2 linked regions of the Coturnix japonica genome follow. The protein of the gene in region 1 interacts with the protein of each later gene in a biochemical or structural test. Links are inferred from orthologs where the notes say so. Each region holds a gene or a part of one and is shown on either strand. Other genes may lie near its edges.

Region 1 (3,512 bases):
ACCTTTCAGCATTCCTTTCTTTGCCTTAATTTTATCCTTCTCTTTATCTCGATCTTTCTTCTTTTCCTTTCCAGCCTTTTTTCTTTCACCTTTGTCTTGGCTTCCATTCATTTGTCTCTCCAGTGAGTGGGATGGCTGGTCACTTGCTGTGGAAACAGACTCTCTACCAGATCTTGAGCTTTCCTCTGTGTCTTCCTCCACTGAAAGCACACAATAAGAAACAACATGGGATAAGAACAAACAACAAAAGCAGGTTGGTTTTTTTTTTTTTGTTTATTGTATAAATTATTTTCAAGCAGGATATATGCACAACAGCAAAATATTCCCATTCTTTTTAAAAATCAGTATTCACTAATTAGGATTTTTCTTGGAATGGACAGGTGTACATAAACTCCTAAAGATAAGAAATTCATCTTTGCAGGACATTCTGTATAACTTGATTCTTGTTTGGTGTGCACTCTGAATAACACACAGACTATGAGGAAGATGTTAATTGAACCCCATTAAGTGATGGTAATTGGATCCTTTTGTTTCAGCATCTAAAACAGTTGAGGAGAGCTTCAGAAATGTCTGCAGGAAGAAACAACAGCTGTGTAGCATGCCCTGTCAATAAATTCTTAGCAATATTCCCATAAAAATATGAAAGTCATTATGGACTGTTGACCCTCAATAGAAGCCTTAATAGACTTTTTCTTATGCTGCAAATACCATAATGATTCTGCGGCACTACTTCATTTCCTGGCATAGTTTAAAACACATCACGCATCATAGGTTTTATTCTTCCAGAGCAGTAATACAGGTTGAGATTGGAGCAGCCTGGGAGGCTCAGGTGGGGAGATTCCACCCAGTGGAACATGGGAAACATTTTAAGAGCAGGTAATGTGTTTCTTCTCCGTTTGTAATCCAAGACCAAGACTGAGAATCCTAAAGTATACCCGAGGTTAAATTTAACAGGGCACACATGTTTCAGAATCTCTGAAATAAAATGATCAAAAGAAATAATGCAATCAGGAACGGAAAATTCCCCGAGCAGTTAAGCAAGCAAGAAAGAAAATATGTTAAACATGAGAGTTAGAATTGTGAAGCCATTTTGACATAACTTAAAGCCATATCCAACAACTATACTGCATGGCTGGTGAAGCTGTGATCTCTCAGGAGCTCTAACATTTTATTTCATCACATTATAAGCAGGGCTGCATCACTTCCCAGTTTTCCAACAGACAGAACAAGGCAGCAATTAGGATCACAGGCACATACTCTGTACTGATTCCTGTAGCTCTTACAGGTTCCAAACAACTATATAAACATATATATATATATAATATACACATATACACAAAAAGATTTGGAAAAGGCCATGACAGAGCTGGAAGGAAGAATTATTTTTAACTTTAGCACATGCTTATTATTATTATTATTACTATTACTACTAGTACTGTTATTGGTAGACCTCAGGGACTTTTCTACAGCTAATGGAAGTGTGCAGTTCTTTAGAAAATTTCATAAACAAAATAGTGTAGAATATAAATTTGCTCTTCTTACTCATCTTTCATGATTGCCATACCAGTAATTCACTGAAGCTGAGAAGTCTACAAATCACCAGCTGAAAGCCACTAGATATTCTACATTCTCTCTCTGATACTTGCCTGCAAAATATTGTTTATTCTTTAATATTACATTACACAGACCTGCCCAACTGACTTATTCAACGAATCTCCCAGCACTTCTATAAATATTATCCAACCCTGCAAGATCACATAAACATTTTTCAAGAGAAACATATCATGTCAGATAAATATCAACATTAATAACCACTTTGGAATATCAACTATTACTCTGAAGTACAAATCAACCAAAAGAAAAAAAGACACTTCCCAGCAATTCATATTGGCTTGTCTTCAGGACTGCTATGAGATAAGCAGGTGACACAACTTCTCAGCTGTAGGCACAGCTTTAAAATTAGGATAATTTTATTTCAGAAAACTAACAGGCATTTCCCATACCCATCTCTGTATTAGCTGTACTTGGACTTTATTTGGTGAAAGTGTTTCTACCACAAATTTGGGGATGATATTTCATTGTTATTAAAACAGTAGTGGAAAACTACTTTGGAAAAGTGATGCAAATTTTTTGCATGTTAATTTATAGCTACAATCTGTTCCATTTAAACCAACCAGGCATTTAAATGATTGTACTTGCAAACAAACATAATTAGTTTTAAAAAAAAAGAACAAAAAACAAACAAAAAAAACCCCACGCATAAATCTGACAACTTCTGAAGTTGACTATTTACTTGGTACTGCATTGCTAGAATTCCAGAGATAAACAAAACTGTTCTATGATTGTTCATATTCATATGACAATACACTATTTTAAGCCTAAATATGCATTAAGTGTATTGTGCTGTGCTGATTGCCGAACTACTTGTCATAACAATGCTTCCTTTTATTGTTTTACATATTCTATGAAGATTGTATTGGCTCCTTTCCACAGTTGTGCTGCAATAAATATTTGTCTATCATATACATTTTGCTCACAGTTAACTCCATGGCTTCGAATGAGCCTTGTGAACCAGGATTTCTGTTCTCTTGGAATAAACACTCATGTTTCCACTGGAGTAAATGGATTTCCATTTTCTTAAAAAGGCAGAACATGAAGAAACTTGTTTCACTTTTATGCAGAGCATTCACTCTGCAATTAACATACTCCTAATTACTAGCGTTTAGAACAAATGCAAATGCTGCCCAATTAAAATTCAAGCCGAGGCTGCAAATGAAACTTCTTATTTTTGTTAAGTTGCAATAATGACATTAGGTTGCTGCAAAATGCAGAATTTACTTGTTTTGGTACTGCTACTTTCTCCCCCACCTTCCCGCTCCCTTCCCCATTCAGGATATGGAAGACAAAAAAATAAATTGGAGTATACTTTAAGCATCAACTAAAGCTAAAAACCAGTGTCATTTCATGGACTGCACTGTACTAAAGAGAAGTACACAAACAGGTATTATGAAGCTATTCTCCTAATTGGGCCATAATATGTAAAAGATGCACATGAGGAATCAAAGCTACTTAATGTGAAGCTATTTTGCCACTACGTTTCTAGGCCCCTTATTGTGATATTTAATACAGCTGTGGATTCTAGCAATTAAGATTCAGCAAAAGATTAGAAAGCTTTGCTGATCTCTCCCAATTCAAATGCCTTGTCCTCATTCACATCACTAAAGATAAACACTCTGCTTCCAGTCGGCTATTTCAGGTATTTAGGAGAAAAAAAAAAGAGAGAGAGAGAGAAATCAGTCAAAATGACTTGTAAAAGTTCAACACTCGCACCTCTCCACAAATGAGACTTATTTACAACCATTAAAATTCATACACTTCCTCTCACATACTTTCTAAAAAGATTGTCCCAGAACTGGACACACCGATCTGATTTTCCTAGCCATTTAATAACTTTTTTCTTTGCAAAGACAGTAAGTTAATTTAGAAGAGCCGGCCCCTCTGCCACACATACT
Region 2 (3,969 bases), on another chromosome or scaffold:
TGGCTTGATGGGCACAGTATATCGTATAATATTGATCGTGACTCCTTTTCACATCTCCAATGGCTCTGCTGTGCCCTGACACAGCCGTGGGGCAGCACACAGGGGTGGGCATAGAAGTGAGGTGATATTCCAGATCTCATCCCCCACTCTTGTCCTCTGAGTTCACATCCATTTTGCTGCTTTCCCTGCCCAGGTGGTTGCTTGGTGTCGGGAAGGAACTTGGTGGCTCAGTGATGTTTAATTGCTGTTGGATTTTATCTCTCTATCCCTTCAGTCCAAAGGAAACAGGTTAAAATGACTCTTTGCTAATGGGGACACGGCCCAAATATTGGTGCTGTTGGGCTGTAAGCCATCAAGTCTTATTGAGCGAGTCCATCCCCCGCATCATCACTGAAGTGTCCCATCTGGCCATTAGGACTGAGTGCCTTCATATTAATTTCACCAGGCTCAGATCAGCCCTTTAAGTCTCCTCATTAGCACTGAGAGTTAGATCCACCACGTTATCAAGTTAAATACGTTTTTACATCCCTTAATTTCAACCCGCTCTGCCGAGCTCGTGGTACAGAGAAGAGCTTGGCTTTCATTCCAGCTGCTTGATTTTCAACAGCATCTTAATTACATCCCCATCACAGCGCACTGACGCACGAGCCGGCACCCATCCAACCTGACTTCAAATCACAGAAGGATCTGGGGTGGAAGAGACCTTAAAGTCCATCTGGTTCTGCTCCATGCAATGGGACACCCATCAGGCTCAGAGCCACATCCCCTTATCCTTGGTCTTGCAGGGGATCAAATGGAGCAGGGACTTGCTTCTCGTTAACTAATGGAAAAGGCTCTGAGATGCTTTTGGGGACTGTACAGAGACTCGGGGTGCTCTCACTCTGCACAGCACGAGATGCAGCTCTGTCTGTTTGCGTTTCTCCCTCGCTTTAACTCGTCCAAAAGTTCGCACCGCCGCTCATTGCACATCACGAGTCAGCTTTAGCAGGGCACACCCCCCCCCAACAGCCCTCCACGCACTCAAACCTCCCCCCACCGCCCAGCACTGCCCATAACCGAACCCATCCCCACCCCGGGGGCCGCCCCATCCGCAGCCCCTCCGTGCCAGGCTCCATCCTCGCAGCTCCCCGCCCGGTTACCGCAGCAACATCAGCGGCACCCCCGCCCCCGGGCCGCCCCCCTTCATCATCCTCCCCCCGTCGGGGCAGTGCGCAGGCTCAGCGCAGGGCTCAGCTCCGCACACCCCATCATGGCGCTGCGGCGGCCGGCGCTTCTCTTGCTGCTGCCCCTGTTCGGTGAGTGCCGGGCAATGGAGATCGGCCCGGAGATGCCCGATGGGTCCTTGGGGTCTGGGGGGGATGCGCAGAGGGGGGGTTAAAGGGATGCGGTGCCGCGGAGATGGGTCGGGAACGGGGATGCGCCGCTCCGAGCTCGGGGAAAGAAGGGATGCGCTGCTCTGATCGCCATCCCGAGCAGAGACGGCCCTGATCGCCGTCCCGGCTGGGAACGCGGTGCGCTGGTGCCGGGGACAGAGGGGGATACGCTGCCCATAACCCGGAGAGGAAAGGGGATGTGCTGCTCTGATCGTGGGGAACAGGAGGGATGTGTTACTTTCATCGGGGTCCCGGCGAAGTGAGGATGCTCTGCCGCCGTCCCATCCCGGGGTGAGCGGTGATGGGAAGGATGCGCTGCCTCTACCCCAAACAGGACCCCAAAGGGCGCTGAGCTGTGGGATGGGATGAGATGGGGGGGGAAGCAGCTCAGCGAGGTGCGGGTCCAGGGCTGAGGGTGCCAGGAATGTGCAGCCTCGGCAGGCAGGCAGGGCGGACACTGGTCCCTATTCAAGCCGAGGCACAGGCTCCTATTGTTCCGGGGGCCCGCATGAATGTTTGCAGTTTTTAATTGCAAAAACATTTGCTAATTCCGCTCAGGAATGAATTCGGGCTCATTTGTTGTCTGGCTATTAATAGCGGGGGGATGAAGAGGGGGGGACAGCAGCCGGTGGGCTCCCATTGCCCCCCACCCCCCACTCCCCCCTTCCAGGCAGGCGACAGAAGGAGAAGGGATGGAGGGAGGTCAGAGTGCCAATCAGCAACTGACTTGGAAAGTTCAGCCACTGAGATCCACGGGGCTGTGCACACAAATAACTGCGTTGGGTCAGCTCGAGACTGGAGTGCATTGAAATATTTCAGCCAGTTTATCTAAGGACAAAGGAATTCTTCAGTCCCTAATGGTTTTCAGACGTTGGGGCTTTGAATTAAGTTAAGATTTGGGCTCTGTTCCCTCCAAAATTAAGGGGTGAGAAGATACAGCCGTTCCACTGCAGCACCCATTGGGATGAGGAGTGCAACTGGGGGGCTCTGTTTGCTTTGCTGTGGTTTGAGGCTGAACTGTGAGTACCCGGAGCATCACAGTCATCCAGGTCCCAACTTTGGATCTGGGTGTTCCATTTGAGTGAGGAAAAACAGCAGATTTCACTCAGCTTCTCCTGCAGTTGGGCTCAAGGGGCATTTCCTCTCCTCCCTCTGTGCTGGAGCAGTGCTTGAGCATCCTGTTGAATGCGGCCTAAAAGACAGCAGCCTGGAAATGAGCTGCAGCTACTTGGGTGCTTCTTTGGACAGGCAGGAGTTGCTGAATGCAGGCAGACCCCGCTGCTTTCACACCTGGTTGCACTATAGTCATATTAGTGAACCGGGAGGAATCCTACATTAAAGGTGCACTGGGTTGCTGCTGTGTGGTCCCATAGGGTTGTGTTTGATGCCAGCCCACTGGTTGGCAGAGAAGGAAGGCAACAAGGCCAGTGAGATGCTGCAAAACTGCTTTAGGAGCTCAATGTGCTTCTTAGACTATAGAGCAGGGATGGCCTCTGTGCTTCTCTATCCAGAATGGACCCAACTCTTGGTCATGGCCTCAAAACATTGCCACAGCACAGAAGGCAGTGAAGCATGGAGAGTGCAGTGTGTACCCCGCTCCAGGCACTAAAAGCATCTAAAGATTCTGCATATGAGGGAAATGCCATGGCCGTAATTATGCTAGCGGAAATTATCAGCATCAGTGGTGGAAAGCAGAGCTTGTAAGCAACATCTATGGTGCGTCCTGCCTCGATGCCTCTGCTGCAACCTTCCAGCATTTGGATTTGGAAGCTTTCACGTGTCAGACTGAGGGCAGAGCTGTGCAGCCCTTCCCAAAATTCACAAGTATTTCCTGATGAAAATAAAAGCACGTCCTCAATGGGGAGGCAGGTCCTTGGCACGTTGCGGTGCCAAACTCAGCGTGCTCCAATCTCCCTTTGATTTATCTCTGAGGTTTGAATTGTGCAAAGGCCATTTCTCAACCTAGCAAACAGAAGTCCTTACTTCCCTTTGTGTAAGCTATGAAGTCCATCTGTCCCAGCCACCAACAACTGTTCCCACTCAGCTGTCAGCACCAGGAATTGCTTGGTGCAAACGCTGCTGGCCCTGCTGCAGCACCGATGTTGTTCCTTGCTGATAGGAGCTATTTGCAGCCATGCTTTCCTTTCAGCAGGCAGTGAGAAAGCAGGACCATCAGCTCCGAGAGCAGTGCCAAAATCAGATGCTTAATAATGTCTTCCAAAGAATTCCTGGGGAGGGCTTGGTGTTCCTATTCAGGCACCACCACCGCAGAGCTGTTGGATCCCATCAGCTTTACAGCTGTTGACAAAGAACGTGACACCAGCGCATTCCTTTTTGCTTGGAATGCTGTCAGGAATTAGTTGGTTATTGAGGCACAAGTAGATCCAGAGAGTAAAATGTGGGGTTTTTGTAGGGAGAAGGAGCAGAGGATGGAGATGCTGCCCTGGTAGTGAACTCTGCTTCCTCACTGATGTGTTTATTTTCCTTTAAGAGTTGAATTCCGGGTCTCCCCGCCTGCTGGGTTGTTTTTCACTCATCCATCCCCACACTGAGGGTTTGCACCAGGAACACAGGTTGTGCTGCCAGACCTCACCTA

Evidence for each region.
Region 2: the proteins of PARD3 (region 1) and JAM3 form a complex in vitro, tested with the Homo sapiens proteins (2 studies listed by BioGRID and IntAct, with this or other methods). The link is inferred for Coturnix japonica from reciprocal best matches to the Homo sapiens genes PARD3 and JAM3.

What each region holds. Positions count from the first base shown.
Region 1 is NC_029517.1:12,121,588-12,125,099, reverse strand, and holds part of PARD3 (partitioning defective 3 homolog), read right to left. Parts: intron 201-3,512; coding exon 1-200. UniProt on the Homo sapiens protein: Adapter protein involved in asymmetrical cell division and cell polarization processes. Seems to play a central role in the formation of epithelial tight junctions. Targets the phosphatase PTEN to cell junctions.
Region 2 is NC_029539.1:2,091,567-2,095,535, forward strand, and holds the start of JAM3 (junctional adhesion molecule C), read left to right. Parts: upstream 1-1,168; 5' UTR 1,169-1,249; coding exon 1,250-1,295; intron 1,296-3,969. UniProt on the Homo sapiens protein: Junctional adhesion protein that mediates heterotypic cell-cell interactions with its cognate receptor JAM2 to regulate different cellular processes. Plays a role in homing and mobilization of hematopoietic stem and progenitor cells within the bone marrow.